Linked DNA regions of Drosophila melanogaster. The gene in region 1 interacts genetically with each later gene. Each region holds a gene or a part of one and is shown in the gene's direction. Other genes may lie near its edges.

Region 1 (5,141 bases):
CACCCTTTTTCCGGAGCAGGCTGCTCGGCCCCTTTTGTTTCTGGAAGGTGGCGAAGCGCGGCACCGCCACCGCCGTGGATTTGGATGACCCCTTTGCCGGATACATGGCGTCGGCAGCTGGACTGAGGGTCAGGAGATTCAGCTCCTGGTTTATCTTAAAGAGCTCCTTCTCGCGGGACAGAAGCTCGGCCATTACGGTGGGTCGATGCGAGGACGGTGGCTAAGTTTCTTGCAACAACGATTGTGATTTGATAAAAGACCTGGACAATCTACACACATTGAATTTTTCTCAGATTTAATTTGCTAGTAGCTCCACACGGCTATATCAAGGTTAATACTATAAATTCGGCTGGAGTTAATAAATTTTCCGGACGCCAAACAGTGACAGTTACCCCGGCTACGTAGTCCTGAATCCCCCGGCCGCCTTTTGGGAATCGGCCTGGTCCCTCCGGAACTCCATGTCCTGTTGCTGTTCAATGGGGTGGTTTTCGGTTTGTTCGATTGTCCCCCCGACGACTGTCGCTTGGACTTCCCCTTTTCGACGGATTGAGGAGTTGGAAAATTTTTTATTTAAATTTATTTATAGTCAATAAGGTGGGCAGGCCATGCTCTTAAGAGCTTGCTTAACTATTTTAACATAAATATATAATAAATAAATAATACATTTTAAATTATTTAAAAAATTTCCACTCATAAATATATGCTTATATTTTATTTGTGTAAAGTACCTATAATGCCAAATGGTGAGGGATTTACCCATCCCAGTCCTTGTAGAATTCTCTCACGTCTCAAAAGAATAATTCGTCCACTTCATCCAAGTTTTCCCCACACATGTATAACCGAAACAGAGGAACACGCATAATAATAATAAATATTGATAGAACTAAAGTATAAACAGCGACGGGCAGCTTCAAGGGAAATACGGCAGAAAGTAACAACAACTCGGGGTCTCCGAGGTGTCACAGCTACCTGTACTCGCACCTGGGATCTCGAGGTTGCAAGGGCGCTGGGTTCACAGAATGTAGAGACAAGTTCAAGATTTATGTGCCTACCGAGTAAAACAAAAGAAGAGCAGCATGTGTCCCACAGAGAAGCCTCGTCAGTCCAAGCAGTCAGCCCCACCAGTGGCCATATATGCCGTCATCAAGGTGTTCTGGTGACAGCCCACACACTGGCCATAATTGCACCGATCTGCTGCCAAGTTTGAGCAGAACCTGACTTCCAGTTGCGAGCGCACAGCTGTGGCCGAAAGCATGACGTTGGCCTGGAGGCGCTCCAAAGACACTTGGATACCACCTGGATACTTGGAAACTTAGTCTAGAGTGCTTCGAATCAAAGCATTTTTATAAATTTTAATCACAAACAAACATTAAAGAATATGGCAAAAAATATTTAAATTTAAAAAAACCTTAGCTAGGGAATATAGGGTTTTTTGTTGAGGTTTCCAGCCCAATGTTTCTCTATGTGCACACTTGCGATATGGGATGACCGCCGCCCGACCCTCTAATTATGCCGCACTCATTAGAAAGACAATCTGGACCCGCAGCCGTAGGTGTATTAAAGGGAGCCAGCGGAGCGTGGCCGCCAGTCCCGCCGGTCATCAAGTGCAGCTCAGCTGGACGACGTGTTGCTGCTGTAAAACTGGCAGCGACACCGCGGCCACCGCCAATTGAGGCGATACTATACTATGCCTTAGTGAAGAGATCGTCGGAAGAGCGCACATAGACTTGCCAATTGCTCCGAAAATCCCAGAGCGCCGCCACTCCGAATCTTGGCAAGACCGGTTGTCGGCCATCGTCTTGGCGTTTTCGTCGGAGTGCGAGTGGCTCGGTTTCGGGCCCAGTCAGTCTTGGCCAGGTCGGTGTGCGAGACACATCCACAGCGCTCAACGAACCTCTATCCCATCGATCCCATCGCTTCGATTTCGATTGCTATTCCGATTCGTTTCGATCCCGAATCGTGCGTGAGTTTTTCGAGTGGCGTAGCTCTGCGGTTATGGCTCCGTTTACCCGGTTCTAATTGGATCGTGCGTGTGGATTTGAAACGGCTTTCCGTGGCTCCAAGAGACGTTCATGGGTTTCCGAGATTTGAAATAGTTGCGGTTGTTGCTGTTGTGCCTGTGATGTTTCTGTCGTGATTTTCTCTGATTGTTGTTGCCCTTGGGAAGCGATTAAGCTCGACGGGTGGTTGAACCGGGCCAGTAAATACGTGCTGAATGATTTGTGAATCTTTTGAATATTTCGCGTTGTTTTCTGGGGAAGTGCAAAAGTGTCGGGAAGTTTGTTGCCTCAGTCTTTTGTGTTGAGACGGCGTAATAGCAGCAGCAGCAGCAGCAACAACAACAGCTCGGATTATTTGCCACAATTCGCACAAAGAGCAGCTCTTAGCGTCTCTTTACCACTCTTGGCCAACTCTTAAATGTGCAATTCCCGCAGCGTTAACATGTAAAACGAGTGTTGGCCACAAAACGAAATAATTATAGAGGAAGCCCGCAAAAAAAAAAAAAAACACTTAGGAAGTACATAAAAACAAAATCAAACTAATGTGAAACCAAAATTCGTGAAAATATCTAAAATCATCATCGTTCCGGGCAACCAGTTTAAGGCACAGCGAAATCGCAACAACGGACACATAACAAATTGGATTACGCAAAAAGGGCGAAGTTGGCTAGAGGTGAGTGTTGCGGAGTTGCTGTTTGAAAAGCCATAATCGAATAACCAGAAACCCGAAACCCGCAAAAAGAAACAGTTAAAATCAGGCAGAAAATCAAAGCTGTGCCGTTTGCAAAAACAAACCCAAAACAGCCTTAAAAGATGACTTCATAAATCGCCGACGCTGTGGATGTGCCAAAAATCCATCAGCCAAACCGGTTGGCTTCACTTCGCCTCGCTCGAAATTCGGAATTCACGGAATACCAATACTTGTACTCGGGGGAACAAATTGAAGAAGCGTTGCAATCTGTTTTCTGTGCAAATGAAATGGGCCTTATCTGAAAAGCGGCCTGAGAAGCCATCTGTCCGGGGATCTGAACCTGTTTGCCAAGGTTGCCAGTGGCCGATGTTGGCTGCCAAGTTCGCAGCCAGTTGCATCATCTGGGGACACAAATATGGCCGCGATGGGGTTGGCCATCGGCAATTGGCTATTTGAGTAGCCACATCACGGACATCCGTCTTCCATCCGCTTTTCCTGCCTTCTTTCCCGTTTTTCAATGCCCATTTCTGGATGCGCACCGCATAAGTAATGTGTCATCGGGCTCTTGGAATCAAAGGTCCATTCACATTTACCCCCACTCCGTGTGCGGCCATTATAAGCCAGAATCTGTTGCTAATTGGCTGACCCAACATTACCCACATGAGCTGAGACCGGGTTCTTCTCCTTGTGGAACTTTTAGCACTTCCACGGATCACACAGCCATAATTATGTTCGTTCCATTGTGTTCGGGTTGGCGTCTAAAGAAGCAATTAGAAATGTTGATTGATGGAGAGATGAACCCCGAACCCATCCCGATCCGACACTTGCATCATCTTTGGACTATGGGAATGTGATGCACGGCCTTTCCCTTTTCGGTGATGCATGGCCTATTAATTGGTTAATTTGTGGTTTGTTAGCCATCAAAATATTGTAGTTGGCCAATGTAATGGTCTTCATCTGCGTTGAATACAACGCCTTGACTAGTGAATAATGGCTCATCCGCCAAAGGCGTTTATCTCCAACTTCTGTTGGATATTTCCAAGTTCTCCGGCATTCTCGGAAAGCTTTGCGTCGAGGAACGCCAACGCAAGCGTAAAATTTGTATAATTAAAAGGCGAATCTGCGCCCGAGCTGCTCGAATACCAGTTTCTGAGCCATCGTGTAGTTAACTTGTTTATATAACAGCCAGACAACAACTCGCAGTGACCTTGAAGCGGGCACAAAATAAGGTAAAGACGGAAAATATGATTGTACGTATAATTTCGTATTATTTTGCTGCCTGGCGATGTGTGTGCTCAGCTAAGTGAGAGAAGTGAAGACATATGACGGATTTTTGGGGGTTTATGAACTAAGCCGAGAAATGCGTGTGGGCTTGATTGCCAAAAGCTGTGTGATTGATTTATAATCTCCCGCGGAAGAACTAACAAAGAAAGCGCCAAAAATGGTGAGGTCATTCAACCAGGCCAAGACCTTTTCAGCGTTAGATTTCCGCCTGCTCGTTGGTATTGATTTACAGTTGAAACGAAAGACTTAGGCAACGAACTTCGCGACTGCATTACTCATACGACACGTTGGCGCTCAGCACTAATTATGCAAAAACCCAAATGCTAGCGAAAGGCGTGCCCCAAACCCAGCCGTGAGTCACAAGCTTCGCTTGCCCCCCGTTAAACGGACACTCTGCATTGGGTTGCTTGTTTGTTTTCGGCCAAAATGAAAAGTCGTCTGGCTAGTTGATCCCCCACTCTCCAGCCTCCTCCACCACCACTGGCGAATTAAACCAACATTGGCAAACTCAAGCGGACTTAAATGCAGGCTTTTACCTTAGATCAACCCCACGCAAAACCCCGCGACTGCAGTCGACCGACCACGAGGTTGTTCAATTCATTCCAAACACTTTCAAATCCAAGCCTTAAAAGGGGAGTGGCAGGCCAAGACTTTTGAACTGCGGACTGTGCTCGAAGGAAGTGGGCACAGAACTGTGGCCAATACTTGGTGTGTTAAGTTCTCAGACACTAAGATATAAGATAAATAAATTATTGTAATATAGTAGCGATCGTCTATGATATCAATGTCTAAGTTTAGCATTTATGACACTACAAGTGATTTATCTCAGTGAAGTTCTACGCTCATTAACTTCAAGTACGAGACTATTTATGGTTTAGAGGAAATCCTCCTCAAAAGTTAGTTACTTAAGTACTGAGCCGAGGAAACTTGCATAAACTTATTATGGGAAACGTAAGGTCAGCTCGGCCTGTCATTAATAAGCAATGCCCATTTCTCGAACTCATCAGTCGAGTCCCTCATCACAAACAATAATTAGCTTTAAAAAAAAGGGGGCTCAATGAATAAGTTTTAATGATGAATTTGGCTGATTCTGACCAGCAGTAGCTGCCAATGTACGAGCAGCTGGGAGGCTGGATTTTTAGTACTTCTAGACGCGAAACCCCAGC
Region 2 (5,954 bases), on another chromosome or scaffold:
TTGCCATCTTGTTAGCACACCGGTGAAGTTCTCGGTCGGGATGGGGGAGGTTCCGACCTGGAATCCGAACTTGCAACCGTTTTGCATCTTTCGCACCAGGCACACTAACGAATGCAAGTGCTTAGAGATTCATATTCGTACTTATGATAGGTATGCAGGTTGGCCCACACACACACCAGTCGGCCATAAAGCTGCCAATGGCCGGCCGAGAGCAACTGACAGCATCAGCCTTGTGGAGTCACAGGCCACCAGCGGATCGGGATCTCTACTTCCATCCTAGCGAAACACCAAACCCTGAGTATCCCATCCCCGCCCGCATTCCTTGCCATTTGCACGCAAAGCTAACTGCGGATTACAGTCGAAGTTCGATGGGGGACAAGAAGATTCCGAAAGTATACACCACTTGCTACTGCTCGTCGAAATCATTCCTGATGTACATTCATATATAGGTAATCAATTAGGAAAACTTTGAAACACGTCTGTTTGGAAATCAGAACAAACCCAGTCTTGGTACAAGAGGTACCCCAGAATGAATGACGCTGTTGTGGGGGAGCGTTGCACAAATTGGAGTTCTACTGTTGGCTGGCATCCAGCCTGAAACTCACCTGTGGCTCACTCCTTGCGTGCGCCGACGTCTCAACTCTTGCTCCGACTTTGGCCTTAGGTTCGCTCCGACTTGGCTTCAACTTGGGATTCGTGGCTTTGTAGGTGTTTCCAGGGGCCACAGCTGATGCCTTGACAGCTACTAAATTCTCCGCCCGTCTGACGCACACGTTCCTTGTCCAATTTTGGGCACCAGGCGGATTTTCCTCCTGGCCGGCGCTTATCGCCTGGCCATAAATTCATGCTGTAGGTGTCTCGATCTTTTCGGTTTCTTTCTTTTTTGGCTTTTTAGCGTTTTGGCGGAGGTCCTCGCCTCGTGGACACGCAATGAAGCTGTTTCTTCGTGCGCCGGAATTTCCCCGCGGCATGCAAAATGCAATTAACGGCACTTGCAGTGCGCCGGAAATTGACAATTCAATATAATGGGTTCCTTGTTTTCGCTAATTGGTGGTGCTTATGCACGCATAAATTAAGTAAACACAATACGAAGTCGTATTTAATTGGTCAAAACAAACTAGAGCTGACAAAAAAGCTGGCGTCCATTTTGTTAACAGGATCAACACTCGATTAAATTAGGAAAAGTAATCGGTACTTAACGGTCACGAGATCTATCGATCAGAACTTCCCCTCCAGCAAATCATAAATGTACTAATAGCGTATATTATAAATATAAACGAAGTTATTATCTAACTAAAAATTCATCGCATTGATCAGCCTTCGCAATCTTCGTCACAATTCCGGCCAATGCCCATTTAAAAAACGAATCAAACTAATGGTAAAAAATTATGAAAATGTAAATAAAATTTAAAACATTATTATATTCATACAATTTCTTAGCAATTTCGTTATAAAGTTAACGTGGAGCAAATTCAAAGCTTAGCTATTTTTCCGCCCATTCATAATCGATAATCTATCGATAAATACAATCGAACCAGTAAGTGAATCTCAACTAGTTCCTTTTCAATCCAGTGAAGAAACAAGAAATTTTAAGAACAAAAAAAACTACCAGATCTCGGTGTCGAGTTAATTGAAAACTGAAAGTTATAATGTGCAGAATCGGCGAATATATACTGCCTACAAAACGCAGAAAAAAGGTTGTCTTTTAAAGATAAGAACAACATCGGAGCTATCGATACTTAACTGGAGTTTTCACATCGATAACAGATGAACCAACTGGGCACCGCTGAGTGACGTGTAAGCGCAGCCAGAAAACCATTTCAATTGTTTTACCCACAATTTAACCGAAAGTTGCAAGACAATGGGTTCGTTCCGCCGCGAGAAAGATGATGAGGAGGACGGTAAGTAGCAAGCTAGCACCTGGAGCCAAGTTGTCCGCCGACCAGCGAAGCCAATCGAAGACAACCCAGTTGCTTGAAGGTGCTCCGCTGGCACAGACACACACTCACACACCCACTAACCCGACAAAGTCGAGAAAAATCGAGGTTTCCCTAAATTGACTGAGAACATGAACTATTTTTCCCTTACCTCGCACAAAAAACATCGCGGCCATCCGTCAGCAGGACCGAGCAATGCGTACCAGAACCTGGAAAAAACCTCGGTGCTTCAGGAGACGCGCACCTTCAATGAGACGCCGGTGAACCCAAGGAAGTGCATCCACATCCTGACCAAAATCCTGTACCTGATTAATCAGGGTGAGCAGCTTGTGGCCCGCGAGGCCACCGACTGCTTTTTTGCGATGACGAAGCTCTTCCAATCTAAGGACGTGGTGCTGCGTCGTATGGTATACCTGGGCATCAAGGAGCTGAGCTCCATTGCCGAGGACGTCATCATCGTGACTAGCTCGCTAACGAAGGATATGACCGGCAAGGAAGACCTGTACAGGGCCGCCGCAATCCGGGCCTTGTGCAGCATCACGGATAACACCATGTTGCAGGCCGTGGAGCGCTACATGAAGCAGTGCATTGTTGACAAAAACGCGGCAGTTTCTTGTGCTGCATTGGTCAGTTCTTTGAGATTGGCCAACACTGCCGGCGACGTGGTCAAGAGGTGGGCAAACGAGGCCCAGGAGGCTTTGAACAGCGACAACATTATGGTACAGTACCACGCGTTGGGTCTGCTCTACCATATCCGCAAGTCGGATCGGCTGGCTGTCTCCAAGTTGGTCAACAAGCTGACCAGAGGATCTCTAAAGAGTCCCTATGCCGTTTGCATGCTGGTAAGTGAAGTCTGAACCCAAACTTTTCTTAATGAAATGGATATGCACTTATTCCCTTTAAAGTGACATCTGACTAATTTCGTTTTACATCCCCCAGATACGCATTGCCTGTAAGCTGATCGAGGAGGAGGACATTCCCTCTGAGGAGCTTTCCGATTCACCCTTGTTTACGTTCATCGAGTCCTGTCTGCGCCACAAGAGCGAGATGGTCATCTACGAGGCGGCCCACGCCATTGTCAACCTCAAGAACACCAATCCGCGAATGCTATCGCCGGCGTTCTCCATCCTCCAGCTTTTCTGCAGCTCGCCGAAGGCAACGTTGCGCTTTGCGGCTGTGCGCACGCTTAACAAGGTGGCGATGACGCACCCGGCTGCGGTGACCACCTGTAACTTGGACCTGGAAGGTCTCATCACGGACTCCAATCGATCGGTGGCCACTCTGGCCATCACTACGCTGCTAAAGACCGGCGCTGAATCCTCGGTAGAGCGTCTGATGAAGCAGATCTCCACGTTTGTGGCGGAGATTTCCGATGAATTCAAGGTGGTGGTCGTGCAGGCCATTTGCGCTCTGTGCACCAAATATCCGCGCAAGCACACAGTGCTGATGAACTTCCTCAGCGGTATGCTGCGCGAGGAGGGTGGCCTTGAATACAAGACCTCCATAGTTGACACCATCATCACGATCATCGAGGAGAATGCGGACGCCAAGGAGTCCGGTTTGTCGCATCTGTGCGAGTTCATCGAGGATTGTGAACACGTTTCACTGGCGGTGAGGATTCTTCACCTGCTGGGCAAGGAGGGACCCTTTGCGGCCACACCCTCCAAGTATATACGCTTTATCTACAACCGCGTCATCTTGGAGAGCCCTATTGTGCGAGCAGCCGCGGTCACGGCCATGGCCCAGTTTGGAGCATCTTGCCCAGCCTTGTTAAGCAATATCCTCGTTCTGCTGGGTCGTTGCCAGATGGACCCGGACGACGAGGTGCGTGACCGTGCCACCTACTACCTTAGCATTCTTAACTCGGAAAGGCCAGAGCTGTACAAGAACTACATCATCGAAAGGGAGAACTGTTCTCTGGCTCTGCTGGAGAAGTCGCTGGTCGAACATCTGAATGGTGACGTGGACACACGCTTCGATATTTCCATTGTGCCCAAGGCGGCCATAGTTAAGCCAGTTATTGCCAACGACGTAATGCTAGTTACCAGCAGTGCTCCACGGCCGCCGAAGATCACGCGCGAGGAGGAGAGTGCTGCACGTCTGGCACAGCTGCCGGGCATCCAGGTGCTGGGCCCCATCCATCGCAGCACAGCTCCCATCCAGCTTACTGAAAGTGAAACGGAGTACACGGTGCAGTGCATCAAACACATATTCGGCCAGCACGTGGTCTTCCAGTTCGATTGCTTGAATACGCTGTCCGACCAAATCCTTGAAAATGTGCGGGTGGAACTCACGCTGCCGGAAGGATTCACAACCAGGGCGGTCATTCCATGTCCCAAGCTACCCTACAACGATCTGCAAACCACTTTTGTCATCGTAGAATTCCCGCCCGACGCCGCCAATTCCATAGGTAAGTTTATAAATAACATAAATTTTGTATTAAAATCATACAACTTTTTTCAAAACGAACTATTTCCTCATTTCAGCCACCTTTGGTGCCACTTTACGATTTGTGGTCAAGGACTGCGACCCCAACACCGGCGAGCCGGAGTCAGAGGAGGGCTATGACGACGAGTACATGCTAGAGGATTTGGAGCTGACGGTTGCCGATCAGATACAGAAAACCAGAAAGAACAATTTCCAAGTGTCCTGGGATGCGGCTGACAGCGAAGGTGCCACAGAAAGATAAATAGGGTCTATTCAATGATTAGTAATACTCTATATTTGCAGAATGGCTACAAGCCGAGGATACCTTTGTGCTGTCGGCAGTGACCACCTTGCAGGATGCCGTCAACACTATAGTCAAGATCCTGGGCTTGGGCGCTGCAAACCTCTCTGAGAATGTGCCCGAGGGTACGCACCTGCATACGTTGCTCTGTTCAGGTAGGCATCCTTCGCTTTTAGTTCTGAGATCAGTAGTACAGTTTTTCCCCCTTTACAGGAACCTTCAGAGGCGGCGCCGAGATTCTTGTGCGGGCCAAGCTGGCGCTTTCAGAAGGCGTCACGCTCAATCTGACGGTGCGCAGCACGGACCAGGACGTGGCGGAGCTGATAACGGCGGCCATTGGATAAGACAGCGAGCCATGCAGGAACCTCCTTTGGTTCCTGCGTGCTGTGAACGTAATCTGAACTCCCTACGAAACTACGAAACAGAAAGTTACGCCTAATCAAAATATAATTTGTACCTTTAAGCGACTGTCTCTGTAATAATCTTAGAGCCCTGTCCACAATCCGGCATGTGCAACATTGAGTATTGCTACTGGCCATTTCCGAAAAGTTTGTGTGGCGATGCAGCCTTCGGTGTGCATCGCATATGTTTATTATCCCCATTTAGCCTGTGCATTTAGCTTAAGTATGGAAACAAAATATTAAAAATACATGTATATGCAATGCAACCCGACCTGAAGGCGTTTATTTGGCAGGTGCTTTTAAAGTAGGACATTGAAATGATTTTAATGATTGCAAGCTCGTGGAAACCGCACCTCCAAAGAGAAATTGCTTCATAACTAGAACTTACTTTATTTTATATGGTATTTTATTTAATTATAAATAACTTATAGTTGCAGTAGCCTAGAGTACTTCTTGTTTTCCTATTTTTACAAATTTCTTTTCTCGTTTGAATCGTTTATGTTCGCTGCGTCCTCCACATTCGTCTTAAATTACAAATTAACCTTTCTCACATGAATTCATAATTTCTTGTGCTTTTGTTCGCAATCGATTCCTTATTATACATTCTCCGATTCCGACTATGCTGAATATTTTTGTGTAAAATGTATCGACGATGCAGTTCCATCAATCGTTCGAAACGCTCTTCCGTATTAAATATTTAAAATGTAAACGCACACAAGTATAAAAATAATATAGATTCGTAATAACAAATAACACACTCATGCAGTTCGCAGCAATTTCACAATGATAATTTCATTTCGTTACAACTCCTATACTCATCTCCAAATGTGTTGAATATGTCATTAGATATATGTTTATATAGTTACGAGTGGTTGGTTGTCTGTTGTG

What was found.
Region 2: of pio (region 1) and gammaCOP, changing one suppresses a phenotype caused by changing the other (phenotypic suppression), as found in Drosophila melanogaster (one study listed by BioGRID).

The regions. Positions count from the first base shown.
Region 1 is NT_033778.4:24,579,406-24,584,546, forward strand, and holds the start of pio (piopio), read left to right. Parts: upstream 1-1,839; 5' UTR 1,840-1,963; exon of another isoform or gene 1,964-2,435; 5' UTR 2,436-2,673; intron 2,674-5,141. Other genes in the region: CG4681 (uncharacterized protein), read right to left, coding at 1-193.
Region 2 is NT_033777.3:31,570,378-31,576,331, forward strand, and holds gammaCOP (coat protein (coatomer) gamma), read left to right. Parts: upstream 1-1,765; 5' UTR 1,766-1,861; coding exon of another isoform or gene 1,862-1,901; 5' UTR 1,902-2,068; coding exon 2,069-2,779; intron 2,780-2,876; coding exon 2,877-4,347; intron 4,348-4,423; coding exon 4,424-4,609; intron 4,610-4,667; coding exon 4,668-4,820; intron 4,821-4,878; coding exon 4,879-5,009; coding exon of another isoform or gene 5,010-5,066; 3' UTR 5,067-5,330; downstream 5,331-5,954. UniProt on the Drosophila melanogaster protein: The coatomer is a cytosolic protein complex that binds to dilysine motifs and reversibly associates with Golgi non-clathrin-coated vesicles, which further mediate biosynthetic protein transport from the ER, via the Golgi up to the trans Golgi network.